Linked DNA regions of Elephas maximus indicus. The protein of the gene in region 1 purifies or fractionates together with the protein of each later gene. This does not show direct contact. Links are inferred from orthologs where the notes say so. Each region holds a gene or a part of one and is shown in the gene's direction. Other genes may lie near its edges. The genes, in order: SRPK2, RBM27, SON and DIDO1.

Evidence for each region.
Region 2: the proteins of SRPK2 (region 1) and RBM27 purify together in Homo sapiens (affinity purification with mass spectrometry; 3 studies listed by BioGRID and IntAct, with this or other methods). This does not show direct contact. The link is inferred for Elephas maximus indicus from reciprocal best matches to the Homo sapiens genes SRPK2 and RBM27.
Region 3: the proteins of SRPK2 (region 1) and SON purify together in Homo sapiens (affinity purification with mass spectrometry; 4 studies listed by BioGRID and IntAct, with this or other methods). This does not show direct contact. The link is inferred for Elephas maximus indicus from reciprocal best matches to the Homo sapiens genes SRPK2 and SON.
Region 4: the proteins of SRPK2 (region 1) and DIDO1 purify together in Homo sapiens (affinity purification with mass spectrometry; 3 studies listed by BioGRID and IntAct, with this or other methods). This does not show direct contact. The link is inferred for Elephas maximus indicus from reciprocal best matches to the Homo sapiens genes SRPK2 and DIDO1.

The regions. Positions count from the first base shown.
Region 1 is NC_064826.1:44,371,462-44,379,028, forward strand, and holds the start of SRPK2 (SRSF protein kinase 2), read left to right. Parts: upstream 1-4,516; 5' UTR 4,517-5,193; coding exon 5,194-5,289; intron 5,290-5,554; coding exon 5,555-5,669; intron 5,670-7,567. UniProt on the Homo sapiens protein: Serine/arginine-rich protein-specific kinase which specifically phosphorylates its substrates at serine residues located in regions rich in arginine/serine dipeptides, known as RS domains and is involved in the phosphorylation of SR splicing factors and the regulation of splicing.
Region 2 is NC_064820.1:160,225,197-160,232,789, forward strand, and holds the start of RBM27 (RNA-binding protein 27), read left to right. Parts: upstream 1-4,540; 5' UTR 4,541-4,725; coding exon 4,726-4,784; intron 4,785-7,593. UniProt on the Homo sapiens protein: May be involved in the turnover of nuclear polyadenylated (pA+) RNA.
Region 3 is NC_064836.1:28,050,625-28,057,828, reverse strand, and holds the start of SON (protein SON), read left to right. Parts: upstream 1-4,144; 5' UTR 4,145-4,205; coding exon 4,206-4,282; intron 4,283-7,204. Other genes in the region: GART (trifunctional purine biosynthetic protein adenosine-3), read right to left, coding at 2,048-2,192. UniProt on the Homo sapiens protein: RNA-binding protein that acts as a mRNA splicing cofactor by promoting efficient splicing of transcripts that possess weak splice sites.
Region 4 is NC_064843.1:5,039,527-5,047,405, forward strand, and holds the start of DIDO1 (death-inducer obliterator 1), read left to right. Parts: upstream 1-4,818; 5' UTR 4,819-4,886; exon of another isoform or gene 4,887-4,966; intron 4,967-7,879. Other genes in the region: GID8 (glucose-induced degradation protein 8 homolog), read right to left, coding at 575-692. UniProt on the Homo sapiens protein: Putative transcription factor, weakly pro-apoptotic when overexpressed. Tumor suppressor. Required for early embryonic stem cell development.

The DNA.
Region 1 (7,567 bases):
TGATCCAAAATTAAAGGAGGAAAATACTTGTTCCTGTGGGAAATAGCCTTATGGAGCTCCAGAATCTATGTCTGGGATTTTCTGGCTCTCTCTTGTCTCTTACCTTTTTGAAAGTTCTCTGGAATCCTGTGCCATCTTACCTCTTTAACTGAAAGCAAGGATGTGATTTTTATCTTTTTTCCCCTTATTCCCAGCATGTATACCTATGAAATAATAAAACTTTACCTATATCTGTATGTATTGGGATTTACCCATATTCAGTGTAATCGTTCCTGTAGCTGATGTTTGTATAGCAGTATTTAAGTTTGTTTTGTAATTTTACGTATTTATATTCATCACTTCGTGCCCTCCAAGTTGCAAGCCCTAAAAGAACAGGATCCTTTTTGTTGAAGAGATTTTGTTGAATACAATAGTCTCATCTGCTGGCATACAGCAGTTGAGGGCTCAGACCCTAGGCATAGACTACCTGGGTTCAGATCCCTGCTCTGCCATACTACCTCTGTGACCCATGGTAAGTTACTTAGCCTTTCTGTGCCTCAGTTTTCCTGTTTGTAAAATGAGGGTAATGATAATATTTCTCTTGCATGGTTATGGGAGGATTAAGAGAGTTATTATATGTAAAGCAAACAGAAGAGTGCTTGACACATAACTGGTAGAAAATAATAAAATGTTAGTTATTACTGTTATTGTTGCTATTTATTACTAGTATATTATTAATCTTCAGGCATTATTTCATGCTTAAAATGTTGTTTTCAAGTGACTAGAAGCTAGCGACTCAGTGTACAGCTAAAGATGATAAAGACGAAGAGTGTGTACTCTGGGATACTGATTCAAGGTCACTTGATAAAACAGACCTAAGACTTTTTGTATTCTTGATGTGTTTATGGTCCTGTACGCTGACTTCTGTTTATTAAAATGCAGAACTAGTTTGGATTTCATGTTCATGTAATTGGTAGGGAACCTTGTAGACCGTAAAACAAGAATAAAATAGACTTGGTCTATTTTGCTGAAGTGTCTGTGGTACTTCATAACATTTGCAAAGCAACAAAGCCTTGGAAGTAGACTTTACTATTGCTGCTGTGAGAAAGATTTTTTATAGAAATAAGCGACGAACTGAGGCTTGAGGTGAGAATTTTAGGATTTACAAATGAGAAAAGTGATAATTGGCAAAGTTCCTGAGGGGTACTGTGTGGGCGTACAGACACAAAATGAATTATGGTGAATCGACAAGCCTTATAAAAAGCTCCATGAAAAGTTTAATGTTTTTCTCCCACTATCACATAAAATTTTTAAAATTTGCTTTTAGATCTCATTTACCTATTGAATCTCTTATTTTAGTTTTGACTGTAGAGCTGATTATATTTTTACTAAATAAAACCAAGACTTTTTTGTGTGATATATAAGATGCTGTAGGAACAGGTCCCTGCCAGTATCTCTGGTTCATTTGCTATCAGTGTTCACCTCACTATTGTCACCTACCACATTGACTTAGATGGCCCACATGAATGATTCTCAGTAGCTTCGCTTGTGCAGTTTTTCTGCTTGGAATGGACTCCAGCTTACTTTCTTCACCTGGCAGGTCCTCCATAACCTACATAACCAAGCCCAAATGCCTCTGACCACTCCCTGCTCCGGACAGATAGGTCATTTCCTCCTTGCAGTCTCTGTAGCACAGCTAGCTATGGAGCTAGGCTTTGGAGTTAGAAGAATGCCTGGATTCTCATCTTGGTTCTTTTACTTGCTAGCTCTGAATTTTTTTTTTTTTTGAGATAAAATTCACATAACATAAACATCGACATTTTAAAGTGTACAATCCAGTGGTTTTGAGTATATTTACATGTTGTGGAACCATCCAAAACCACATTTTCTCCCGTGGAGTGGATGATGGGTTCATACCACCAAGCTATCAGTTAACAGCTGAACACTTAAATACTGTGCTACCAGGGATCCTTCGTACAGCTATCATGCCTATCTAATTCCATAGTATTTCCATTACCCTTAAAAGAAACCCTGTACCTATTAACAGATACTCCCCAGTCTCCCCTCTCCCATCCCTGGTCAACCCCTAATCTGCCTTCTGTCTCTGTCAATTTTGTGTTTGTATCGAAATGTATTCTGGATGTTTCATATAAATAGAATTGTACAATATGTGATCTTTTGTGTCTGGCATCTTTCATTTAGCATAATGCTTTCAGGGTTTATCCATTTGGTAGCATGTATCAGTATTCCATTCCTTTTCATGTATGGATATTCCACATTTTGTTTATCCATTCATTGGTTGATAGACACCCCCCCCTTTTTGGCAGTTATGAATAATGCTGTTGTGAATATTAATGTAAAGGTATTTATGTGAACATCTGTTTTCAGTCTCTTGGGTATTACACCTATGAGTGTAATTGCTGGGTCATAAGGTAATTCTATGAGTAAGTTTTTGAGGAGGTAGCATACTGTTTTCTGCCGTGGTCATACCATTTCTCATTCCCATCAGCAGTGCCTGAAGGTTCCAACGCTTTTTATTGTCTGTATTTTTTTATTATAGTCATCATCCTAGAGGGTGGTTGGCTGCTAACCAAAAGGTCTGCAGTTTGAATCTGCCATCTGCTCCTTAGAAACTCTATGGGGCAGTTGTACTCTGTCCTGTAAGGTTGCTATGAGTCAAAATTGACTGGACAGCAGCAAGTTTGGTTTTTGGTTTTAGTGGGAATGAAGTGGTATGTCATTGTGGTTTTGATTTGCATTTCTCTAACAACGAATGTTGTTGAACATCTTTTCATTTGTTGGCCATTTGTATATCCTGGAGAAATGCCTAGTCAAATCCTTTGCCTATTTTTAAACTGGATTGTTCTTTTTTTTTTTTTTATTGTTGAGTTGTAAGAGTTCTTTATATATGGATGCTATACCTTTATTAGATACCTGATTTGCAAATATTCTCTCCCATTCTGTTTTTACTTTCTTAATAATGTTCTTTGATGTACAAAATTTTTAATTTTGATGAAGTCCAATTTACTCCATATATTTTTTTAATCTTTTATTATTTATGCTTTGGTGCTATACCTAAGAAACCATTGCCTGATGCAAGATTATGAAGATTTACACCTATGTTTCCCTCTATAAGGATATTATAGTTTTAGCTTTTACTTAGTGATGGGGTTAATGTGTTTGACATGTGGCAAGGACATGAATTTTGGAGGCCATAAAGTAGAATGTCATGGATCGAATTGTGCCCTCCCAAAATATGTGTCAACTTGGCTAGGTCCTGATTTCCTGTATTGTGTGGTTGTCCTCCATTTTGTGATCTGATTATGCTCCATTTTATGTGTTGTAAATCCTGACTTCTGTATGTGAATGAGACAGGATTAGGTTTTGTTAATGAGATCCAATTATGCTTGTTATGTTAATGAAGCAGGATTAGGGTAGCATACATCACCCTTGCTTGAGTCACACCTTTCCTTTTACAAGAGATAAAAGGAGAGAGAATGGAGCAGAGAGGAGGGACCTGCCTACCACAAAGAAAGAAGAGCCCGTAGCGGAGTGCACCCTTTGGACCCGGGGTCCCTGTGCCAAGAACCTCCTAGACCCAGGAGAAGATTGATGCCAAGAAACATGGCGATCTCCAAGGAACACCAGGCCCACAGATGTTGAAAGGGGATGAGGACCTTTCCTCAGAGCAGACAGAGAGAAAGCGTTCCCCTAGAGCTGGTGCCCTGAATTGGGACTTCTATCCTCCTAAGCTGTGAGAGAATAAATTGCTGTTTGTTAAAGCCATCTACTTATGGTATTTCTGTTATAGAAGGACTAGATAACTAAGACTGTTCTTTAGGCCTTTGATCCATTTTTGGTTAATTTTTGTTTAGGTAGTTAAGTAAGTGTTCAGTTCATTCTTTTGCATGTGGATATCCAAGTTGTCCCAGCACCATTTGTTGAAGAGAGTATTCTTTCCCCATTGATTGGTCTTGGCACCCTTGTTGACATTAATCATAGATACAGGGGTTTATTTCTGAACTCTCAGTTCTAGTTCACTGATTTATATATCTGTCTTTATGCCAGTACCACACTGTCTTGATCACTCAAGCTTTTCGAAGTTGAGATGTGTGAGTCCTCTTTTTCTTTGTCAAGATTGTTTTGACTATTCAAGGCCCGTTACATTTCCTTATGAATTTTAGGGTTAGCTTGTTCATTTTTGCCAAAGTGGCTGTTGGAATTTTGATAGTGATTGCTTTGAATTTGTAAAGCAATTTGAGGAGTGCTGTCATCTTAACAATATTAAGTCTTCCAATTTATGAACACGGAGGCCTTTCCATTTATTTAGGCCTTTAATTTCTTTCAGCAATCTTTTGTAGTTTTCCATTTACAAGTTTTGTACTTCCTTGTTTAAATTTATTCCTAAGTATTTTATTTATTTGTTTTTGGTGTTACTGTAAATGGAATTGTTTAGCTCTCGAATCTTGAGCAAATTTCTTAAACTTTCTGGGCTTTAGTTTCCACATGTGTCAGATGGAAATTATCTTAAGTACCTACCTCTTCCCTTTGTTGTGAGAATTTAATTAGTTAATTCATATAAAGGATTAAATGAGCCTGACAGTTCAAGGTAAATGTTTAATATTAGGGATTTTAGCCTTATATATATTTGTAACCAGTCTCTTTGCCCCAACACCTGTTGGTGCTCAGGGAATATAGGAGGACGGTCAAGTTAAGGCTGTATCTCATCAATTTCAGTTCTTAAGGTTTGAAAATGTGTGTTGGGCATCAGGGAAACTTCCTCTTTTGCCTGCATATTTTGATAAGGCTTGTTTTCTTACACATGTAAGTAAGCCTTGCACAATAATTTTGCCACCTCCTAATATAGTGAAGTTTCCTTTTGAGATGTTCCCATGGGCCTTGGTTTATCAGAGGAGGAGGAAAACAGGCATTACCTTGGTGAACTAACAGTCCTTCATATATGAAAATTGTAAATGAAATTAAGTTGGCATAAGGTATGACCTGTGAGTCACAACATTAGAGACTCAAGCAGTTCCAGTTGGATATTAATATGTAGTATTTAAAGAATTATCTTTAAGTTAGGATTATGAAAATACTTCCATTCTCTCAGCATTACTCTCTGGTATAATTTCTAAAAGAGATATAGTAGAAAATTTTACAAATGATACTTGTTTTTTTAAATGTAGAACAGAGAAAACTTTGAAACTTGGCCTCATGCTGAACAGAGCATTGGGTCTCATCCTGAGTATAACAACTCACAGTCATCCAAGAACTTGTGTTACTTCTTCTGTCTTCCCCACCAGGCTCAGTGTAAGTAAGTGTCTTTGTTCTGTTTAGGGGCAGAATTAACTATTAATGATACTTCGCTGTGGTGAGAAATTTAGACTGTTTTTAGGGATCAGTTTCAATACATTTCATTGCTAATGAAGGGCCAAGATGGTGAGGCTAATAACATTAGGAATTTATTTAAACATTCGTATTTTCACACTGTAATACTTTTTTTGCATTTAGTTTCTGAAATAACAGATAACCCATATTGTGCAATGAATGTAAAGTTTTAATTTATTCTACACAGCACTTAGGCTGGGTGATCTGGGATGTTGGACTGCTGGTGTGGATGTGGCCTGAACAGCTTTCTCTTCCCCTCTCTGCCTTCTTGCTCACTGGCTTGCAGTCACACTTCTCTGAAGGTGGGTATTGCTAAGAATAGAGACCACAATTTCGGGGGAATTTGCTTGCTTTTCTTCGTAGAATTTGAAAGTCAACAGCAAACCTCTCATAGTAAACTAGTTTATTTCTTGGTTTACAAATTACATCCAGAATAACAATGAAAGACTTTTGACAGGAAAAAAAATATTTCCTCTAGTAAAATGGAGTTTCTGGTAAGTGGCAGCAGTGTCTCCAGTCTGAAACCACCTCCTTCACTTCCTTTAACCCCCTTCCCCCAGCCCCTGCCTCGTTGCAGAGTTTGGTGTGAACATACTGTAGTCCACTGGCACGTTATCATATTCAGGAACACAAGTAATCCTGTTTTGGAATTATTGTTGTTAGGTGTCAGCAAGTCATGGCAACTCATAGCGACCATAAGTGTTAACAGAATGAAACACCACCTGGTCCTGAACCATCTTCACAGTTGTTAAGCTTGACCTCATTGTTGCAACCACTGTGTCAGTCTATCTCGTTGAGGGTCTTCCTGTTTTTTGCTGGCTCTCTACTTCACCAAGCATGATTTTCTTCACCAGGGACTGGTCCCTCCTGATAATATGTCCAAAGTACTTGAGACGAAGCCTTGCCATCCTCGTGTCTAAGGAGTATTCTGGCTGTATTTCTTCCAAGACAGATTTGTTTGTTACTTCTGGCAGTCCATGGTATATTCAGTATTCTTTGCCAATATCATAATTCAAAGGCATCAGTTCTTCTTTGGTCTTCTTTATTCATTGTCCAGCTTTCGCATGCATATGAGGCAACTGAAAACACCATGGCTTGTGTCAGGTGCACCTTAGTCCTTAATGTGACATCTTTGCTTCTTAACACTTTGAAGAGGTCTTTTACAGCAGATTTTCCTAATGCGGTGTGAATGCATCTTTTGATTTTTTGACTGCTGCTTCCATAGGCATTGATTTGTGGATCCAAGTAAAATGAAATCTTTGACAACTGCAATATTTTCTCCGTTTATCATGTTGCTTATTGATTCATTTGTCAGAATTTTTTGTTTTCTTTGTGTTGATGTGTAATCCATACTGAAGGCTGCAGTCTTTGATCTTCATTGATAAGTACTTCAAGTCTGCCTCACTTTTAGCAAGCAAGGTTGTGTCATCTGCATATCGCAGTTTGTTAATGAGTCTTCTTCCAATCCCGGAGCTGCATTCTTCTTCATACAGTCTGGCTTCTCTGATTATTTGCTCAGCCTACAGATTGAATAAGTGTGGTGAAAGGATATAACCCTGATGCACACCTTTCCTTATTTTAAACCACGCAGTGTACCTTTGTTGTGTTCAAACAACTGCCTCTTGATCTGTGTACAGGTTCCACATGAGCGCAATCAAGTGTTCTGGAATTCCCATTCTTTGTAATGTTATCCATAAAGGCAACTGTTAAGGAATGGGGAGTAGAATTGGGATTATAACTTGAAAAATGAAATCAAATTTATGTAAGCTTATACATTTTATTTAACAAAACTTGTTATTAAATATGTACGGATTTTTAGAATGAATGAAAAAATATATCGTGTTGATTGTTTTTGGCATACCTTTTCATACTAAGTTACGTGATAACATGATTGGACATGGAGGGAATTTTTGCAAACTATTTAAGAGTTTTATTATTTTCCCTCTCTGTCTCTAATAATTGAACAGTTCTCATTCTTGTGACACTTAGCATATTATTGTCCTTGTTGATTTTTGTTTTTATTTACTAACCCTTCTAATACTTACTATAGCCTCATTTTTTTAGTATTTTTGCTTGGGATTCTAGCATTTCCTTTGTGTTTTCCATCAACTTTGTGAAATGTATCTTTTGCAGATTTTCAGTTTCACTTTGCTCAAGATTTGTATTTTGTTGGACTGAATGACTGTTAATGAGGGACTAA
Region 2 (7,593 bases), on another chromosome or scaffold:
AACTTGCTCTTGAACATAGAGTAGCTACAACGAATGAAATGATGAAGTAAAGAGCTGAACGGAAGATTTCAAACGGTGGCTTGACAAGACAAAGTAAAGTATTATAAGGGAATGTGCAAAGACCAGGAGTTAGAAAGCCAAAAGGAAAGAACATGCTCAGCATTTCTCAAGCTGAAAGAACTGAGGAAAAAATGTAAGCCTCGAGTTGCAATTTTAAAGGATTCTATGGGCAAAATATCGAATGATGAAGGAAGAAGTAGGGAATACACAGCGTCACTGTACCAAACAGAATCGTCTGACAGTCAGCCACTTCAAGAGGCAGCATATGATCAAAAACTGTTGGTACTGAAGGAAAAAGTCTAACCTGCACTGAAGGCACTTGCGAAAAACAAGACTTCGGGAATTGACAATACCAATTGAGATGTTTCAGCAAATGGATGCAATGCTGAAAGAGCTCACTTGTCTATGCCAGGAAATCTGGAAGACAGCTACTTGGCTAAGTGGCTGGAAGAAATCCATATTTGTGCCCATTCCAAAGAAAGCTGATCCAACAGAATGCAGAAATTATCAAACAATATCATTAATATCATGAAAGTAAGATTTCACTGAAGATAATTCAAAAACAGTTGCACCAGTACACCGACAGAGAACTGCCAGATTTTAAGCTGGAATCAGAAGAGGACGTGGAATGAGTGCTATCATTGATGTTAGATGGATCTTGGCTGAAAGCAGAGAATACCAGAAAGATGTTAACCTGTGTTTTATTGACTATGCAAAGGCATTTAACTGTGTGGATCATAACAAATTACAGATAACATTGAGAAGAATGGGAATTACAAAACACTTAATTGTGCTCATACAGAACCTGTACATAGACCAAAAGACAGTCGTTGGAAAAGAACAAGGGGAGACTGTGTGGTTTAAAATCAGGAAAGGTGTGCATCAGGGCTGTGTCCTTTCACTATATTTACTCAGTCTGTATGCTGAGCAAATAATTCGAGAACCTGGACTACATAAAGAAGAATGGAGCATCAGGATTGGAGGAAGGCTCATTAACAACCTGCAATATGCAGATGACACAACCTTGCTTGCTGAAAGGGAAGTTGACTTGAAGCTCCTATTGCTGAAGATCAAAGACTACCGTCTTCAGTGTGGATTACACCTCAGCATAAAGAAAATAAAAATCCTCACAATTGGACGAATAAGCAACATCATGATAAATGGAGAAAATATTGAAGTTGTTGAGGGCTTCGTTTTATTTGGATCCACAATCAACACCCATGGAAGCTGCAGTCAAAAAATCAAACCGTGTATTGCACTGGGCAAATATGCTGCAAAAGATCTCTTTAAAGTGTTAGAAAGCACAGATGTCACCCTGAGGACAAAGGTGTGCCTGAGCAAACCCATGGTACTTTCAGTCAAAGCTGGACAACGAATAAGGAAGAACAAAGAAGAATTGATGCCTTTGAACTATGGTGTTGACGAAGAATATCGAATATTCCATGGACTGCCAGAAGAAGGAACAAATCTGTCTTGGAAGAAGTATAGCCAGAATGCTCCTTAGAATTGAGGATGATGTGGCTTCAAGTATTTTGGACATGTCATCAGGAGGGACCAATCCCTGGAGAAGGATATCATGCATGGTAGGATAAAGGGTCATTGAAAAAGAGGAAAGACCCTCAATGAGATGGATTGACACAGTGGCTGCAGCAATAGGCTCAAACATTGCAATGATTGTGAGAATGGCACAGGACCAGGCAGCGTTTCGTTCTGTTGTACAAGTTGGAACCAACTTGACAGCAGCTAATAACAACAGCAACAAGCATGTCTATTCTATTCCCTGTAATATACTTGATTACTAATGTACTTACTAGTGCCTTTGGTCACTAGTACTTACTAGTGCCTTTGGTCACTAGTAAGCTGGTGTTCGGTGCCTTCACTTTGGCAACAAGACCTGCCAAATTTACTTTATAAGTACATTTGGGAAGTATTTTGATATTCTTGCAGAGGAGTGATTTACTGTGTAAATGCAATTTCCATTTATTTGTAGCCTATTATCGAATTCTTGTCCAGCCTCAGGTCTAATCAAATCACTTCTAACTTTCTCTTTTTTAACTTCTGTCATTTTTTAAAAGAAAATTTACTTTAGATGAAGGTTTACAGAGCAAACTAGCTTCTCATTAAACAATTAGTACACATATTGTTTTGTGACATTGGTTACCAACTCCACGACATGTCAACGCTCTCCCTTCCTGACCTTGGGTTCCGCATTACCAGCTTTCCTGTCCCCTCCTACCTTCTCGTCCTTGCCCTGAGCTGTTGTGCCCATTTAGTCTCATTTTATTTTATGGGCTTGTCTAATCTTTGGCTGAAGGGTGAACTTCAGGAGTGACTTCAGGACGGAGTTAAAAGGGAGTCCGGGGCCATAGTGTCAGGGTTTCTCCAGTCTTTGTCAGACCAGTAAGTCTGGTCTTTTTTGTGTGAATTAGAATTTTGTTCTACATTTTTCTCTAGCTCTGTCTGGGACCCTCTACTGTGATTCCTGTCGGAGCAGTTGTTGGTGGTAGCCCAGCACCATCTAGTTCTGCTGGACTCAGTCTGATGGAAGCTGTGGTAGTTGTAGTCCATTAGTCCTTTGGACTAACCTTTCCCTTCTGTCTTTGGCTTTCTTCATTCTCCTTTGCTCCAGCTGGGGTGAGACCAGTGGAGTATCTTAGATGGCCACTCACAGGCTTTTAAGACCCCAGATGCTACTCACCAGAGTAGAATGCAGAACATTTTCTTTATAAAACTATGTTACACCAGTTGAGCTAGATGTTCCCGGAGTAACTTCCATCATTTTTTGGTAGCGCTTCATTTCCTTACTGGAAAGAACGGAAGGAATAATGTGGGTAAGTGTAAAGGAAAACTGAGAGGAGAGAGGGAAGAAGAGGCAATAGTGAGATGTGAAAGCTCTGGGCTTACAGTCAGATCTGGTACTACCTCTGTTCTGTAACCTGCAGACTTGTGTGATTCTCTGTACATCACTTAGTCTCTCTGGGCTTTCTTCCTCATTTACAACGTTGGTGGGGTTATTAGTGATGGAGGTTCATTAGATGATCTCTAAGTGCAGGTCTCCTTTTATATACTATGTGATAAAGGGGTGGGCAAACTATGGCAACAGGCCAAATCCTGCTGGCCACCTGTCTTTGTACACCCATGAGGTAGCAATGGCTTTTACATTTTTAAATAGTTGAAAAGAAAATCAAAAGAACGTTTTCTGACATGTGAAAATTACATGAAATTGATATTTTCATATAAGTTTTCTTGCAACACAGCCACGTTCATCCATTTACATATTGTCTATGGCTGGTTTCATGCCATGACAGCAGAGACGAATTGTTGCCACAGTGGTCTTTGGCCTACAAAGCCAAGAATATTTACTATCTGGACCTTTACAGCAAAGTTTGCCTAACCTTGCTCTATGGATATTTAGTATGCTTGCTTATCCTGGGCTGGTCCATCTGTTTTATAGGAGGTATGTGCTCATGAGGTATTTTTCAACATGTTATTATTATCATGTATAACCCCAAAATCATTCAGCTTTCTAGAAGGGACCCTGTTTTGCTCACCAGTGGACCCCAGTCCCTTATACAAGGCTGATACATAGCAAAGGTTCACTAATTGCTGTTGAATAAACAACACTGCCAAGCCAGTGATTTCCAAACTCCAAAAGGCATTTCTGAGCTAGTACAAACTAAGTTGTCTATTTCAGTAATTTCAAAATTAAAAAAAAAAAAAATTATTTAAAAAATCTTTTTTCCTGACGAAAATTCTCCCTGCAAAAATCAAAACTAAAAACTCCTTTTAGATATGCCATTAAAAAAAAAAAAAACTATTAGAATTTGTTTCACTTCCTAAATAGAGTATACATTAAAAATAAGTGGTAAAATTGAGATGGCCTCAGCCTTTTACATTCGTGCGCCACGTTTTAAAAACGAAGATTATTGGAGTCCAAGGCATGGTTGTCAGGAGCATTCTGCATAGTGTAAGCATAGCCGCAAAAATCGCAAGCGTGAGTGGCGATCAAAATGGGTGTGTTAGGAAGAAAAAAGTAAATTTTTACATTCAGTGCAATGTGTCGAACGTGAACGTCTTGCACCTTGTGTTGCAGATTTACTACAGCTGAGTCATTTCGGGACACGAGTGTGTGTGTTTCCAGGAAATACGAGAGGAAGAAACCAGGCTGAGGGGCTCGCCGGGTTCCCCCAAGCAGCCCTAGCACCAGACACCGGTATTCAGTGGCGGGCGCCGGCGTGGTCAAAAAGAGGCGTCGCGGCCCCTTTAAGAGGCACAGCACCTTCTCCAAGATACCATCTTGCACCAGGAGTTCACTTGCGCTCTCCACCTACCTTGCTACATCCCTCCTCCTTAACTGGGTACGGCCGGCCGGCGGGGCGGGCGAGCCTTTTCATTGGCGCTGAGCGCACAACCCTCTCTACTTTATTGGTTAATGTGCTCGCCAGTCGGCGCTGTCTCCCGCCTATCTGAGCCATCGCGTTCGGTTGAGTGAGGGCTCTTGGGTTAGTTCCTGTTAGGCCCGGGCCGGGGGAGTAGGTTGAAGTCTCCTAAGATGCCGGGTGGGCTGGGGCAAGGGGAGCTGTGAGGTGGTCGTGAGGAGGCAGCGAGGGGAGACCCACGGCAGGCCCGAAGAAGAGAGGCGGCCGAGCCCGCCTTCCCTGCACCATGCTCATAGAGGATGTGGATGCCCTCAAGTCCTGGCTGGCCAAGTTACTGGAGCCGATGTGAGTGAGGCAGGCTGGGCCGGCGCCGGCGAACGTGGGCGTTGGGGGCCCGCGGGGGCGTGGGGGGAGGGGAGGCGGTGGGGGATGCAAAGGGGCCGCGGTGCGGAGGTCCGGGCGACGTCTTCTCTGTAGTACTATCACCATTGTGGGGGGGAGGGGTAGAGCAGCAGGGGCGTAGAGGCGGTGTTGATGGGGAACGGCGGGAGGGTAGGGACAGCGAGGGCTTTTTAAATATAAATATTGGGGCGCTAGAAAGGATAGCAGGAATAGTGAGGGAATTTAAGATACTGCTATTTGAGGACGGAGAGGGATACATAGTAGAGCTATCGAGGGATTTTTTACTTGTGAATATTGGGATCTTGAAGGGAATAGCAGGATGTCGAGGGCTTTACAAACGGTGTTTATCGGGGGCTAAAAGGACTGGAAGGAGGGTATCGAAGGCTTTTAAAAAACAGTAGAGCAGAAAGGGATAACAGGGACACCGAGGCTTTATAGCGATTATTGGTGTGCTCTAAGGGTTCAGGAATATTGAAGGATTTAAAAAATATGAGGAAGCTGAGAGATGTGGGCATCGAAGGGTTCTGGAAATTATTGGGACGCTGATAAATATCATAGCAAGGATATTAAGGAACTGTGAAGTATTATTGAGGAGTGCTGGTAGAACAGATTAATATGTAAATACCATTGGGAGCTGGGAAAGAATTTTGAGGTTTTTATAAGTTTAGTTGGAAACCCTGGTGGTGTAGTGGTTAAGTGTTACGGCTGCTAACCGAAAGGTTGGCAGTTCAAATCCACCAGGCGCTCCTTGGAAACCTTGTGGGGCAGTTCTACTCTGTCCTATAGGGTCGTTATGAGTCAGAATTGACTCAACGGCAGTAGGTTTGGTTTCGGTATAAGTTTAATTGGAGTTCGAAAGGGCTATCCTGGTATCCAATATTATTGTTGGATGAGGGACTGAAAGGGATGTGCCTGTAGCATCTAGGAAATTTTCAATTCGGGTATTGGAGGCCTAAAACGGATAGCAGGAAGAGTAAGGGCTTTGTAAAAATTGTTGAACAATTGGAAGCAGAACTGGAAGTATTGGGGTGTAGGATTATTATTGAGGGGCTAAAAAAGATGAGAGGGACTTGTTCTTCTGAAATATTTTCAGTAGTATTAGATAGTGGTAGAAATATTATTGGGAGACTTAGAAGGGTTAGCAGAGCTATCAACTCTAACCCTTGTTTGCTTTATAACCATTCCAAGGGGTAGGGTTGTGGAGTATTTATTTGGGGGACTGGGATATAACTAGTCTGGAGCAGTTCTCCTAGGTGGAAGGAGAAAGAAGGTTGGAGGGCTGGAGAGAGAAAAATGCCTTTAATCCTCTTGGGAAAGAGGCACACTTGGAAAGGGAAAGAGGTTCATTTCCTGTCCCCTCCTTATTTCTGCCTGAATATCCTTCTTGGAGATTGGGTGAAAAAAAAGGAGGAGGGGGTAGAGGAAGAGATGGGCAGGCTCTGGTTCATTAGATCAGATCCCTTTAGTGGAAAAATGGAGTGTTTTTCAGAGGTGGATATAAGGGGCAGTTTGGAAGATGTGTAGGCATGGTAAAGTTGGGGCTATTGGGAGACATTGTGAAGCTGCTTCCCTGTTTATTTCCTGGTCCTCCTGAGGAACCTTGTTAACTAACTAGTTTTTGTTTTTCGGGTTTTTTTTTTTTTTCTTGCTACTTTGGTTTCTTGGGGTGGACAGTAACACCTAGGAAAAGAGTTATCTGCAGACCAGTGTGTCAGCCCTTTGAAGGCAGAATGTGAAGGGAGGCAACTTTAGGGGATGTGGCATTTATGTTCAGAGGATAAGGAGTGTGTGAGTAGAGCACAGGTATGAATAAAGGCACACTAAGGGCTTCTGAGCTTTAGGTCAAAAGTGATCTAGTTAAAGTGAAAATGACTTCTGGACACACTTGAGAATTTTGTAGAAGGATATGGGCATCTCAAGTAATACATCATACTTACCAATAAAAAGTTTTGGGGCACGAAGATAGAGATGGATTGTGGCGAAGGTAGGAAATAGATTTAAGGAAATTGACCGCATATGGAAAAGGTTGAATAAAGAAAAATATATATTTTTAAAATTTTTATTCTTAACGTTATTTAAGATTAAAAAGAGAAATCTCTCTATTTTGTACACCTGCTGTTCGCCCCCCCCCCCCCCTTTTTTTAAACACTCTTCCGTACAAGCTCTGATTTTCTTTGTTGGCAGAGATACTTTTAAATGTATTAAAGGTATATTTTATGTCTTAGGTAGAAAGTAACAACTTTTAACACTGTAGTTACTCTTTCTTTTTTTTTTAAAAGCTCCCTAAAATGTCTTACTCAGGGCAATGCATTTTTTTTAATTTTAAAATTTACTTTGGGTAGGAACTTAAACTTTCTAAGCATGTTTTCACTTGTCTTTTTTTGGCTATTCAAACTGATAAATGTTCGTAGATATTCTGTAATTTTCATGGGTAAAATTAGCATTCAAAAGGATTACTTGAAATTTAGTTTTTCCATTTGTTTTGAGTTATATGTTCAACTTACAGCACACGTCATGCTTCTTTTTGTGTTTTACCTTTTGGTACTTAATTAGGGCTTTTAAAAAAGAGATCTAAATTCTTCAATTACTTAGCGCTTAACAATATACAGTCCTGCCCTGCATAACGTCCTTTTGGGCAACATCTGACTGCATATACTGTGTGGTACCGTAAGGTTAGAATAAAAAAAAAAAATAAAGGTTAGAATAGAATTCAGAAATCTCGAACGGACCGGAGAACAGACAGACAACCAGA
Region 3 (7,204 bases), on another chromosome or scaffold:
CTGCCCCATAGGATTTCCAAGGAGCAGCTGGTAGATTCAGAACTGCCAACCTTCTGGTTAGCTGCCAAGCTCCACTGCGCCACCAGGGCTCCCCTGTAAAGGTTACAGCCTAGGAAACCCTATGTGGCAGTTCTACTCCATTCTATAGAGTTGTTATGACTTGTAATCAACTCGATGGCACAGGACATGTGCTACGTGTTTAGTCTTCCAGACTCAGACGAACTAGGAAGAAGGGTCTGGCGATCTACTTCTGAAAATCAGCCAACGAAAACTATGCATCACAGTGGTTTGATCTGTGACCAATCATGGGGATGGTGCAGGACCAGGCACCATTTTGTTCTGTTGTGCACGGACTGCCATGAGTCAGGGGCTGACTCTCTGGGCAGCTAACAAACACGTGCTAGATAGTATCGTAAACACTGGGGCTAAGATATTAACATAAACAGGGCATCTACACTTACGATGTTTACGTTCCACTGTGGCAAAGCCAGGTAACTAACATCTAAACGAGAAACTACTGGGTATAAACAGATTGCACAAATGTGATATGAGATGAATTGGGAGGCTGTTTTCAGTTATAATGATGGTTCTCTCTGAGGCAGAGACATTTAGGCTAAGAACTGATGGACGATTTTAGTTAAGACCCAGTTCGCCTCTTCAACCTAGAGACCAGGTAAATTTTCTTTTCTGATGCAGCTCTAAGTAACTAGCAGTAGCACTGGCCACGTACCAGGCCTGGGTCCCACAGACGCTCTCTGCCTCACTCTAACTAAACTACCATTCTTCAGTTGGCTGAAGCCTCAGTGACTCCGCACATACCTATATGGGATGGGGCAAGAGGTAGTATCTGCGATGCCTAAGGTACATATCCAGAAAAAGTCATGAGTTCTCAACCCACAGGAACTGCTTGACTCAGGTAGGGATGGAGTACCGTGTACCCTGGGTTAAGAGCTCCATGTATAATTGTGCTGAGTAGAGCCAACTACATCAGCATGTGCTCAGTAAAAGCGAGAGTACACATCTAACCTCGGCAGCTGCCAGTGCTAGCAGCCTTATGACAATCTTAGGAGGCTCTGATGGGTATCATGTTTTAATAAAGTGTACCAGTTCTCCAGTAAACAGATTCAGCACTGCACCTCACCCCAAGAGCTAAAACCCCAGGGAAGCATGCATTTTCTTCGTTGTTTTTTTCTTAGTACGTGCCACATAGAGTACTTAGGCAGTGTGGACAGGATGCAAAATCAGATAGAAAAGTTCCTTGTCCTTACGCAGCTTACATTCTAGTGGGTGGGTTGGGGGTGGGTGGAGAAAAGACAGACAATACAGAAGGAAAGAGTAAAAATAAACAGTGGCTCATGACAGAAAACAAATGAGACGGGGTGGAAACTTGCTGTAGTTAGAAACTTCAGGAAAGGTCTCTCTGAGGTAACATTTGAGGCCCGAATGACGGGAACAAATGCTGAGTCCAAGAGAGCTCTGTTTGGGAAACTGGCAGGAGAGCATGGATGAAGCACAGTGAAAAGAGAAAAAAGGGACATAAAAGAAAAGGCTGGAAAGGCAGAAGGAAGCCAGATCACAAAAGGCTTTGTAAGACACAATAAAGGGTTTGAGCTTTATTCTAGTTGCCATGGGAAGCTGCCAAAGAGTTTAACGTAGTGTGTGAACTGATCATTTTTATCAGTGGAAGGGATAAGGGTTGAGATCTATTATGGAATTAGAATTACCAGGATTTACATTTTCAGAGAACTGCTCAACTTTTCATTTCCAAAAATAGACATCGAAATGCTTCTAATCTACTATTAAGTACTTGTTACTTTTTCGATGAACGTGTTTTATAAAATATGGGTTTAAGGTAACCTAAGAGAAGAAAATGTCACATCATGAAGAATAGAATACCTTAGGCTTACTACACATGCAGATATTCAAATTACCACGTAACTTTTAAGGCTGACAAAACAAAAACATCTGAATAGCAATCTATGGCCAGAGGTGGCTGACAGCGTATCACAAACCATAACTACTATTTCCCACTTTAAAACACGATTACCAGCATTTGAAATCTTTTCGGAGCAGGCAGTGCCTGCATTTCCTGGGGCGACCAACACTTGTTTGACATGATGAGACTGGGCAAGTTTCCAGGCCAGAGTATGTTCCCTTCCTCCATTGCCAAGGACAAGCACTCGGGCTGCCATGGTTGTCTGTGAAGCAGGAACTCTGAAGAAAAACACACGCTGCATAAAGAAAACCACGGTTGATATTTTAGAGTGCACATCTTTTAGAAACCACGATTTGCAAATGAACCCTGGGATTCATTTTTGAATAAAAAATTGAGATTCATAAACAGAGAAACGACTGCACTAGGAGGGCATAAGAGGTATTTTCAAGGAAAATGCATGGACTGAAATATCTGAGATAAACTTATCCTTAAATCCAGATAAAGGACTGCATTTTCCTGGAATAACAGGTGCAGTGAAGGAATAGATCAGGAGCCCTGGTGGAGCGGTCAAGAGCTCGGCTGCTAACAGAAAGGTCGGCAGTTCAAATCCACCAGCCACTCCTTGCAAACCCTATGGGACAGTTCCACTCTGTCCTATAGGGTCGCTGTGAGTTGGAATCGACTCGACAGCAACAATTTTTACTTTTTAACAGTTAATTACGAAACAGCATCACTTAGCCCGAAACGATCTACATCAGGGTGGTTCGGAGGCCTGGGTTTTGGTTGAGACTCTGCCTTTCATTAGCTGGGAGCCCCTGAGTAACTTAACTACCCTCCTCGGGCCTCAGTCGCCTTATATTTAAAACGAGCAACTTATAACCAGAACAAGAAAGCCGGGTAAAACTATTTCCAACCCTTTGCTGAATAATAAAAACAGAAACCAATTACAAAAGCGGACCTAATTAATCTGCTGCAGACAATGGGTGCATAGAAACAAAACACCATAAAACGGGCACAACAGCTTAAGTCTTGGGCCTAAGAAAACATAAATAGACAAGAAAGTTAAAGCCCTGACACCACAGAAAGCAGGAAAGGTGATAAAGCCAACGTAAGCCCCAGGTAAGAGCAAGGGAAGAGCACGTGGCCAACCTCCACCCCCCACATTGGGAAACAAAGACGAAAATCCCGACGGCCACACCCGACACCGAGCAGCCACACCAAGCACAAACGTGCTTTCTCTCAAGGCCGCGGCTTGCTCACGCACCGAGCTGGCGGCCGCGCTCCGACTCGAACTCACGTCGGCGCGCTCCGAGCCGGACCGCCGCGGCGGAAGTCAGCCGGGCCGGATCCGACGCGCACCCTCCCGCCGCCCGCGCTCCTCCCCGCCCCGGGCGGGCGCCGCCGCCTCATTGGCCTGCTCTGCGCTCGGTCCCCGCGGCGAGGTAATCCAGTGTGGTTCCCGCCCCCGGGCGCGGCCAGAGCCTGCTCTTGAGCAAAGCTGTCAAGCGGCGCACGTTCCGAATGTGACACTAACACCGGCGCCACGTAACGTCGCCGCTGCAGCCCGAGAGCCTCCCAGCTCTGAGGAGGGGGCGCTGCTAGCGAGGGTCCGCACTGAGCAGCCAAAGCGCAAAGTCTCGTGACGCGCCCGGCTTTGAGAACCGGTCGCTCAGGACCTCCGGCCTCTGGCTAAGATTGAGGTCGATGATAGGCTGCAATGGGACAGGCGGGGTGAAAGCGTGTTCTCCGCATTCTCACAATAGGGGCGCGGGCTGGCCCGTGCTTTCCTGGATGCGTCTCCCTGACCGAACAGAACTTGGCGCCACACGGGGACGCCTGTAGGCCCCATGTCAAAACATTTCCCCCTTTTTCATAGCATTTAATCTCGGGCATTTAGTCGCTAAATAAACCTATTAACCCCTTTCTCCGGCCCCGCCCCCCCCCAAAACAATGTTGGGGACTGATAAGCGGACACAGTCGCCTCGGGAGAGGTTTCTCCTGTAATGGCGCCTGCGTCAGACACTAACATGGCGGACTGAGCCGTGCGCGGCGCAAACGTCAGCAGCTCTACCCCAGCCGCTCAGGAACAGCGGAGGAAAGTGGAACCGTGCTCACTGATTGGCTCGACGGCAAAGCGTGCCTGTGCCATCGCTCTTACAGGAGCCAATCAAGAAGCGGAGAGACGGAACTGGCCGCAGCGCCGCCTCCCGAGGCATGCTGGGAGCCTGGAGGACTAGCGAGGAGGAGCTGAGAGAACGGAGCGGACGCCATGGCGACCAACATCGAGCAGATTTTTAGGTCTTTCGTGGTCAGCAAATTCCGGGAAATTCAACAGGAACTTTCCAGGTAAACGATTCCCAGACTGTTCTCGTCCCAAGGGTCCGTTAGGGCCCATTGTAGCTTTTCCTGGGGCTTTTCTTCAGAGAAGCCGTCGTTCCTCGGCTCGGGCCCCGCTACAGCCCCGCCTGGGCCTGGGATCCATTTTCCGGCTTCCCCTCCCCCCTCCGCGCTCTGCTTCCCTGCGAGGAACTTGGCCCTTTCCGCGGTGACCCGGGCTCCCTCATTCGGGCCGAGTTACGATGCTGGCGCTTCTCTCCCGGCCGGCCACCCCCTAGGCCTGAACGCCTCGCAGGCCGGCTTGTCCGCGGCGGCCGGGCCTAGGCCCCTCGGCTCCGCCTCCGCCGCTCCCCTCCCCCTCTCGGCCGAGCTGGCCGGCCGGTGCCGCTGACCGGAGAGGGTCTCCAACGGCCATTTCTTGGGTGATCTTCAGCCCGCTTTGTTTTTGTAATCTTCAGACGGTTTGGGAATGAGCATTCGTTAATTGGATTATTCGGGCCCCAGCGTCTTATGATTTCCGTCCGTCGACATTCTGATGAGACTGAAATGAAAGTAGCTGAAATTAGTTAGGTATTTTGTAAAAATATTTGAGGTGAGGATGGTAGGGCTCTTTGGGGTATGAGTCATTTTTTAATTTTAACAAGTGGAAAGTGGGCTTATGTGTGTAGTTTGCTTTTTCTTGCCACTCGTGCCCCAATTGACATATTTGACCAACCCGCTACTTTTACTGTCGCTGATACATGTTCTGGAGTTTAGGCTTGATTCCACGCAAATAGAAAGGGAAGTGACTTCCAAAGAAACAGTTGTTTACTCAGAGAGGAAAGTACTGTGGGTCGTGTTGTTGTTCAGTGGTTGTCTTAATATTTTTGCTTTGTGTAAAATACTATTTTCAAGTGTAGAGATAGGAAAGAAAGCTTAAGTCAGATATTTGAGTTCGAATGTTTTTGCTAGTTGTGTGTTAAAAGTAGAGCGTATGAGCAGTGAGTAAACTTGAAAATAAAAGCGTGATTGTAAATTAAGTGTCCGAATTAACATGAGATTATTGGGGCAATGGAGTAATATTGCTAAAATTGTCCAAAGTGTTATTTTTGCAGATGTATTGTTTTTTAGATGGGAAATGTATCTGCTCATTATATGGTTTTTTAAAAAAATTATATGCTAATGTTTTTAGGATAATGAAAGAAAACTTGAGCAAAGGGAATGTAATTTCCCTGAAAGCTTTTTAATAGTGGCATGCAGAAAGTCGTGTGTTTGCTTAGTGTGTAAGTTTTGCTTTTGTAAGTAACAAAAATCAGTTTTTTATTAGAAAATAAATATTATTGTAGAATATTTAAAAGAAAGAAAATGAAAACTACCCGTGTAATTATTGGTGTTATGCCCCTTTATTTTCCTGTGCAGATACAGATCTGTAATTATATATATGTTATGTGCAATGGGATTGTTTTTCTTTGTTTTGGTTTTCACTTAATATATAAACAAGTTTGTCATACCACAATCTCGGTAATCTTTGGCAACATTGTTCATGGCTGTGTAGAATTCCATTGTGGGAATGTATCGTTGGATAGCTAGGTTGTTTGATATTTTCATTGTTTTTTAGTAATTTCAGTTTGCATCCTGGTAGCAGTCATAAAAATTGAGAGATAAGGTTCAATCATGATAATTTCCTCATAGATTGAACTTTTTTTAGTGTACTTTTCTGATTTTTCAATCTGGGGTCCTTTAGAAGGGAGAGTTACATAATAAGTGTTTGGGAAAAGTAAAAAGAAGCACTCAAAGTCTAAAAAGAGTATTAGAGAAAGCAATTTATTACTGTCGAAATACAAGATACGTAGCTTCACCATAAGCAACATGTAATGTGTTATCAATTTAAAAATATTTTGGATTATTTGCCATTTCATTAAGGTTTTTTCTCCGTCTGCTCTTAGGTACATCAGTGTGGGTAATGAGGCTGACCTTTAGATATTTAAGATAAGTAACATAAGTATTGTATGTAGTTGGTGGTTAAGAGGATGCTCTGCTTATGAATACCAGCTTCATTTCTAAGTAGCTGTGTGACATCCAGCCAAGTTTCTTGTTCTCTCTGTGCCTCATTTTCCTCCCCAAATGAGAGTAATGGCATGATTATAGAGGTTTGTTAGGATTAAATTAGTTAAAAATGTAGAAGAGTGACACCTAATTAGTAGTTAAGTGTTAGTTTTTACATGATTCGTTGTATTAGAAAACTGAATATTTCCTATTAAGATTTATCTAGTGAGTATTTTCATTTTTTGACCATTGAGACCTTTATCAGGTATTGAGCATAATTGTTGTTTTCAGTTAGGTAGAATTGAGCTGTTGAAATTATATGGTTTTTCGAAAACATTTTTGTTAATTTATACGATAGTAGTAAAAAAAAACAACTGTAAATGATATGTTCTTATATCTGTCAATATTCTCTGGCCCTGTAGATTGAAAATATGTTAGACTACCCACTCATTTTTTCTTGGTATAATAAATTATTGCTTGTTTTGTGAGTTTTTTTTAAATATCATAAAATTTTTTGGTACTGGGATTTTTTTATAACTGGGTTAAAACTTCCTGCATGTATTTTTCTTCTTACGCTTTGTGATATTCTTTTAGCAGTCTAAACCTGATCTGAGGCTACAAGTTATGTTATATTCTTTTTTACCTAATGTGTCTGTGGCTAATTTTTGTGTTCTGGGATATTATTGAGGTAATCGTGATCTATGCACAGGCATAGCTTGATTGTACCCATAGTTTCTACTCTAACGCTAGGTCATATATTTTTCTTTGAATTTGTGATTTGGCTCTTAATAGTTTTTGTACTTGAGGGAAATAACCTGTGTAACCCAAAAGCCTCAATTAAAAATTTTGGGAGTATTTTATTTAAAAAAAAAAAAGGTAAATTTACTTTTGCAGTTCTGAGAACTT
Region 4 (7,879 bases), on another chromosome or scaffold:
ATCAAACCAGAGTGTGCGCACCTCTCTCACATGCAGCTAAAGGCCTGCATTTCCTGACCACTTTCCAAAATGCTTTTAAACGGACATTAATTTGGGGGAAAAGAACTGGGGACCAAAGGGAGGGAGACTAACTTTTCATTTTATACCTTTTGAAAACAGCTGAATTTTCTTACCACATATGTATAATTACCCCTTTTCCTCCCAAATATCAGTGAAAACTGTCTGAGCCTTAGGACAACAGACCACTTTTATATGCTTCTGGCCAAGAGAGATCAACTATTTGGAATTTTAACATACTTCAGAAAATTCTTAATTATCTTGATTATGTAGCTTTAAAAACAACAAAGGTCAAGAAACTTTTTTTTTCTTAGGTCTCAGAGACTGAATAGCTGATTTCCCGAAGAAGCTACTTTAAACAGGATAATTTGTATATTTATTAAGTTTTCACCATCTTTATATCATCTTTTGCAACACAACATAACTTTACTCTTGACTTCAGTAGTAAAGCTCTATCTGTGTGTACAAAAAGGGAAATTTGTGTCCAAGAATTAGGGTCCTTATTGCAAACCATTACCTGTGACGAGGTAGTTCATGATGAGCCGATTCATGTCTGCTCGCTGAATATGTAAGTTATTGAGTTTTTCCATCCACTCATCTTTTGTAATTTCATCAGGTTTTTCTGCATAACTCATTCTGGTCAATTTCTACAAGAAAAAAAATTATATCTTAAGTGGTGAAGAATTCTGACAATCATGACCATTTCTGAAATAAACACACAGCCACATCACAGAAATGAAAAGGAGAAAGTCGAGAGACTTCAAATCTGGAAACCAGGCCTGAGGCCTCCCAAACGTATATCCCGAGACCAGGAAGAAGCCAGGGTGTTTATAAGGCAGGATAAATCTGAGGGTGCACCGAGATGTCTTAGAACTAAAAGGTTGAGAGGTCGGTCGGGGTCAGGTCAAGTAAAGCCCTATAGGTGGAGGGAAGAGCTGAGATTCTGCTCTAAGTGCAAAGGACAGCCACTGCAGAGTTATAAGCTCCAAAATTATACACTAGGATGTATGTTCGAAAAAGGCTACAATCTGTACTAACTAGGCTGACAAAAATTAAGAAGTCTGACAATACCAAGTGTAGGCAAAGACATGGAGTTCTCTTGAACACTTTCATACTGCTGTTAGAATAGACTGGTCCTGCGGAAACAACGTGGCACGCTCTTGTAACGGTGAACGTGGGTACTCCTTGTCATTATTAGCTGCCATGGGGTTGGCTCCAACTCATGGCCACCTTATGTACAACAGAACAAAACACTGCCCAGTCTTGTGCCATCATCATAATCATTTGTATGTTTGAGGCCATTGTTGAAGCTATTGTGTAGTGCCTTCCGATTTCGGAGGCTCATCTTCCAGCACTACACTGGACAATGTTCTGTTGTGATTCATAGCGTTTTCACTAGCTAATTTTCAGAAGCAGATCATCAGGCCCTTCTTTCTAGTCTGTCTTAGCCTGGAAGCTCCCCTGAAATCTGTCTGCCATGGGTGGCAGACATACCAGAGACATAGCTGGTATCTGAAATACCAGAGACATAGCTTCCAGCATCACAGCAACACACAAGCTACCACAGTACAACAAACTGACAGACAGGTAGTGGGTGGGTGTTCTCCTTACAGCCCAACAATTCTACCCCTGCTAGATGTACATACTCTAGAAAAAGTTACAAAAGTGTGCCAGGGGACACACAAGCCTGCTTGCAGAAGCACCATCGACAATGGCTAACATGTGGAAGGCACTCAATGTCCAATCAACAGCGGGATGGACAAATGGACTGTAGGATACACAGCCACAATCCCATGTCTAAAGCCATCGGGTCTACATGATCTGGAATTCAGAATTCTTCATATTATAGAACAATTACATGGCACAATTTACCACACGTTACGTAACATCCTCATTGGTGTCTGAGACAGCACCCCATAATCAAACATTATTTCTTCAGTGAAATGCACAAATATTCAACTTTAATGGAATAAAAGCTATTGAATACCCTTACCCAGATAAGGTTTTACTCCCAAATGGGTTAAAAACAAAGTTTTTGGTTTTCAGAGCTGTCTGGATTTCAGAATTGCTGAGAAGGAACTGCAGCTGTTCACACAACAGAATTTAACAGAGCAGCTACAAGGAGCTCACGCAGTTACAGAGATGTCTCTTAGGAACGACAGCAAATGAAAAAGCAAGTTGCAGAGACCTAGGGGTGGCATCATAGTTTTGTGAAAACCAAAAAACAAGGCAAACTAAATAATACGTGTTTTAGAAATAAATGCGTACGTGGCAGACCCATTTTTTTAAGTAAGGGCATGAAATATAAAACTCAGGGGGATGGTTACAGGTGGGGGCGGGCTGGCAGCTCTGACAGCTTCGGGAGCTGGAGTGCTGGAGCGTGACTTCTAGGATGTATGGTGAGCACACAAGTGTCTGGTTCATTTTTCGGTTTTGTAACTTACATACAAGCTTTGTAACTTACCTACAAACTATGGCTATTACTTTATGCACAGCGAAGCACACGATAAACTGTTTCAATAAGAGAATTGAAGGATGGCTCTGGTTTTCTGGCAGAAGATGGAAGGTAGGCAGTATGGCAAGAGCTGAGCATGAAGACCAGGAGGAGACATGCAGGCTGAGAGGATGGCCATGTGGACTAAGATGGTAGAAGAGGGCAGAAAGACGGGCCAGATCCAGATTCTCTGGACACTGAGCCAATGCGACTTGCCGATGGCCTGAAGGTGGGGTGATGGAAAGGAAGGATCCAGGAAGATGAGGTGTCAAGTTTGAGACCTTGAAACGTGAGGCCATGGATAACAAGGACAGACAGGGAGTGGAACAGGTTTGAGGAGTGGGGCAAGTTTGGGGAGACTATGAGACAAGCAGGTGGAGAAGTCAAGCAGGCACCTGATCACAGGTCCTGAGCTCAGTGCTGGAAATGTTAATTACGGAAACATCCACGAACAAATGATATTTAAAGAAGGTTTGGCAAAGATCACCTAGGGAAAAAGCGTACATGGGGAGGCAGGGGGAACCAGACAAAGCCCTCAGGTCCTTGGAGGATACCAAAACGTAGAGGCCATGCAGAGACGGAGGTGCCAGCAGCAGAGTATGAACAAAAATCACTAAAACCAACACATGTTGTCACACACACACAAGACTTATCTCTTGTAGCACTAGGTCAACTGCATCACTAAGATGAAGTGTATATTCAGAGACAACAATTAAAGGTAACTTAAGGACCTGTTGTTTGACTCCACCAGGTGCTCCTTGGAAACCCTATAGAGCAGTTCTACTCTGTCCTATAGGGTTGCTTTGAGTTGGAATCGACTTAACGCCAATGGGTATGGGTAAGGACCTATTGGCCCAGTGGTTAAGAGTCTGAATGCTAATCAAAAAAGTCAGCAGTTTGAATTCACCAGCCTTTCTTTGTAAACCATATGAGGCCGTTCTACCTGTCCTATAGGGTCGTTATGAGTCAGAAGCAACTCAATGGCAATGGGTTTTAAGGACCAATATGAAAAGCCCTTTACAAAAGCCCCCTTTCAGTTTCCATTTGGCAATCAGCAATCACAGAGGACTACCTGGGGGAGGTGAGGGTGATCTTAAAAAGCAGCACCGTGCAGAGCTGACCCTGTTCTTTGCAGGAAGAACTGCCAGCCTCAACCTCCAACAGTTACATATTCCACAGAAACAAGCCAGCATCAAAAATCCTTTCTGCCAAGATACATTCCCTAGACACCGAGAGCCAGAACCACTTGCTTTCCACGCCATGACATCCGTGCTTACCAGCTCAGTTTCTGCTTTTAAAAAGCAGATTCGTTATAAAAATCGTTCGCTTGGCGAAGTCAGATATAAGAAGTCTGAGTAACTATTGCTATTCTAGTTGACGGTTCTTCCTGAACGTCAGCACCTTCACTTCAAAGACGTTGTCTTTAGGAAGAGAAACAGGGTGACAGCTCCGAGGTACAACCAAGGTTAGGTGTCTACTTCGGGAGGGAAGAAAAAGACCGAAAACGAAGCAAACGAAATAATACGTCCACCACCTTCCAGCATCACAGGTCGAGAGGGTAAACGTCCAGCTGCGGAGAACGCGCCCCGTTCTCAGGCCTCCGCCCCGCAAGACTTCCACGCGGGACTCTTTTTGGGACCGTCCCTCCCGGCCCCGACCTGCCCACCAGCCCCGGCCCCGACCTTGGCTTGCCCACCGGCCCCGGCCTCCCCACCGGCCCCGGCCCCGACCTTGGCTTGCCCACCGGCCCCGGCCTCCCCACCGGCCCCGGCCCCGACCTTGGCTTGCCCACCGGCCCCGGCCTCCCCACCGGCCCCGGCCCCGACCTTGGCTTGCCCACCGGCCCCGGCCCCGACCTTGGCTTGCCCACCGGCCCCGGCCCCGGCCTGCCCGCCCGCCCGCCCCGCGCTCCCGGTGACGCTCGGCCGGCCGCCGCAGCCATCTTACCGTGTGACCCACCTCCCGCGCTGCACGGTCTCGGCAGCAGCGGCGGCTCCGTGGCCGCTCCAGGGGGCTGGGGCCGGGCTGGGGAAGGGGCGGCGGCGGCGGCGGCGCCGGAAGAGAGAGAGGCGGTGGCCACAGCCAGGCGGGGGCGGAGAGGAGGAGGTGACACACGGGCGGCCGCCCCCTCAGCCTACTATCGCGAGATCCCGGGCGGCAACCAATGGAGGTTTCCTGCGAAGGGGCGGAGCGCGACAGTCACCCGGAAGTGCAAACACCAGCTTCCGTCCTTGCGCAGAACTCCCTCGCGCGGAGCCGTCGCTCTACGGGTTGGCGCGAGAGTCAAATCGCATCGATCGCTTCTAAGGAAGATGGCAGACCCCGCAGCGTCGAGGTGCGGATACTTCGCGCGGGGATGGCGACGCCTAGACTGAGTCAGAAACGAAGGCCCCAGCGTCCTTTCCCGTCGTTTGTGTGAGGCCGGGGGAATGGGGCAGGGGCGGGGGAAAAGATGCCTGGTGCTCCTAGGCCGCCCCGCAGACGGAGTCGCCTCCCGACGGCCTGCTTCCCAGGCGCTTGCCTTCCCACGGCCCAGGGGCGGAGCCATTAGGTCGGGCCGGGAGTGGGCGCTCTCGAAGGCTGTTGGGGTGAATTCCTTGTTGATTCCACGAGTGTCATTGAGCGCGTGCTCCCTCGAGGCCAGATAGGCCGGACCATCGTGCCCGCAGGGAGCCTCCCGTCCAGACTCGTCACGTCGTCTCACGAGCGGCCGCTTGGGCCGCCTGCGCCGAGGGAAGGGTCGGGGGCTTGCGGAAGACCACCTTGAGAAGGCGGCGCGCCATTTTCCCCGGCTGCCGCTGGATCCGCCGGACGAGGCCGTAGCGCATGTTCGCGGGTTTATTTCCTTATTTCAGTCTGTTTTCTGAAGAAGAATGCCGACTCCTCCAGGGCAGGGTCTTGATTTCCCATTGCTGGAGATTCAAATTAAAAGATTTAAGTGCGCTTCGGGAAAAAATGTTAGAAATGTTGAGGGGGCAGCCCTTTACATGGTCCGGTGAGAATCTCACGGCAAGTCTTTAGAAGTCAGGAGTGAGATGGTTTCGTGTGATTGCTTGTTCAGTTTTATGAGATCTGAATAACCACCAAAGTGATATCAAACTTTTTCAGACAGAAAGCACGTCCAATTGGCAGTTTGGCCATGAAGAATGGTTATGGCCATTTTGCATCCTTTGCAGCTGTTTATACCTATAATAAATAACTTTAGAGATCAACTTAAAAACGTGCCGGGGGTTATAGAGTTTTAAAATTCTTTCAGGATTATACAAGCAAAAAGCTTGAAGGCCCAGCGTCGTAGGGAGATAGACTATTCCTGACTAAAGAGGCTTTAGCAGTGCTCACCTGTCAGCTGTGCTTTCCCTGTGGGTAATACAGTTAATAGTCCCTCCTCTCCCCCTCCAGCCAAGTAGTTGTCAAGTCCTACTGATTTCACCTCCTTCATCGCATCTAGAAAGCAGCTGCTTTTTATTGTTTTCCAACTTTTCCCCTATTGAGGAAAAATTTTGTTGTCAAGTGCCATCGAGTCACTTCTGACTCATAGCGACCCCACCGTGTACGAAACACTGCCCGGTCCTGCACCATCCTCATAATTGTTGCTGCGTTTGAGCCCATTGTTGCAGTCACTGTGTCAATCCATCTCCTTGAGGGTCTTTCTTATTTTCTTTGATCCTCTACCAAGCATGATGTCTTTCTCCAGGGACTGATCCCTCCTGATGACATGTCCAAAGTACGTAAGACCAAGTGTTGCCATCCTCCTTTCTAAGGAGCATTCTGACTGTACTTCCAACACAGATTTGTTTGTTCTGGCAGTCTATGGTATACTCAGTATTCTTTGCCAACACCATAATTAAGAGGCATCAATTCTTTGGTCCTCCTTATTCATTGTCCAGCTTTCGCATACGTTTCGGGTGATTGAAAACACCATGGATTGGGCAAGGCACACCTTAGTCCTCAAGGTGACAGCTGTTTAACACTTTAAAGAGATCCTTTGCAGGAGATTTGCCCAATGTAGTGAGTCTTCTGATTTCTTGACTGCTGCTTCCATGGATGTTGATTTTGGATCCAAGTAAAATGAAATCTTTGAGAACGTCAATATTTACTCCATTTATCATGATGTTGCTTGTTGGTCCAGTTGTGAGGACTTTTGTTTTCTTTATGTTGAGGTGTAATCCATACTGGAGGCTGTGGTCTTTGATCTTCATCATCAGTAAGTGCTTCCAGTCCTCTTCACTTTCAGCAAGCAAGGTTGTGTCATCTGCATAACGCAGGTTATCAGAGAGTCTTCCTCCAGTCCTGATGCCCCGTTCTTCTTCTGTAGTCCAGTTTCTTGGATTATTTGCTCAGCATACAGATTGAATAAGTATGGTAAAAGGATACAACCCTGATGCACACCTTTCCTGACTTTAAATCGCGCGGTATTCCCCTTGCTCTGTTCAAACAGCTGCCTCTTGATCTCTGTACAGGTTCTTATGAGTACAGTTAAGTGGTCTGGAACTCCCATTCTTCACAGCGTTATCCATAATTTGTGATGATCCGCACAGTTGAATGCCTTTGCGTAGTCAGTAAAACACAGGTAGACATATTTCTGGTATTCTCTGCTTTTAGCCAAGATCTGTCTAACATCAGCAATGATATCCCTCATTCCACATCCACTTTTGAATCTGGCTTGAGTTTCTGGCAGTTCCCTGTCGATGTATTGCTGCAAGCGTTTTTTAAATTATTTTCAGCAAAACTTTACTTGTATGTGATATTAATTATATTGTTCAATTATTGCTGCATTCTGTTGGATCACCTTTCTTTGGAGTGGTTGCAAATATGGATCTCTTCCAGTTGGTTGGCCAGGTAGCTGTTATCCAAATTTCTTGGCATAGACTAGCGAGCACTTCCAGCACTGCACCTGTTTGTTGAAACATCTCAATTGATACTCTGTCAGCTCCTGGAGCCTTGTTTTTCGCAGGTGCCTTCAGTGTAGCTTGGACTTCTTCAGTACCATCAATTTCTGCTCATATGCTACTTCTCGAAATGGTTGAACATTGACCAGTTCTTTTTGGTATAATGACTCTGTATTCCTTCCGTTTTCTTTTGATGTTTCTTGTGTCGTTTAATATTTATCTCATAGAATCCTTCACTATTGTAACTCGAGGCTTGAACTTTTTCTTCAGTTCTTTCAGCTTGAGAAATGCCAAGCGTGTTCTTCTCTTTTGGTTTTCTATTCCCAGCTTTTTGTGCATGTCATCATAATACTTGACTGTCTTCTCAAGCTGCCCTTTGAAATCTGTTCAGTTCTTCATCATTTCTTCCTTTTGCTTTAACTGCTCAACGTTCAGGAGC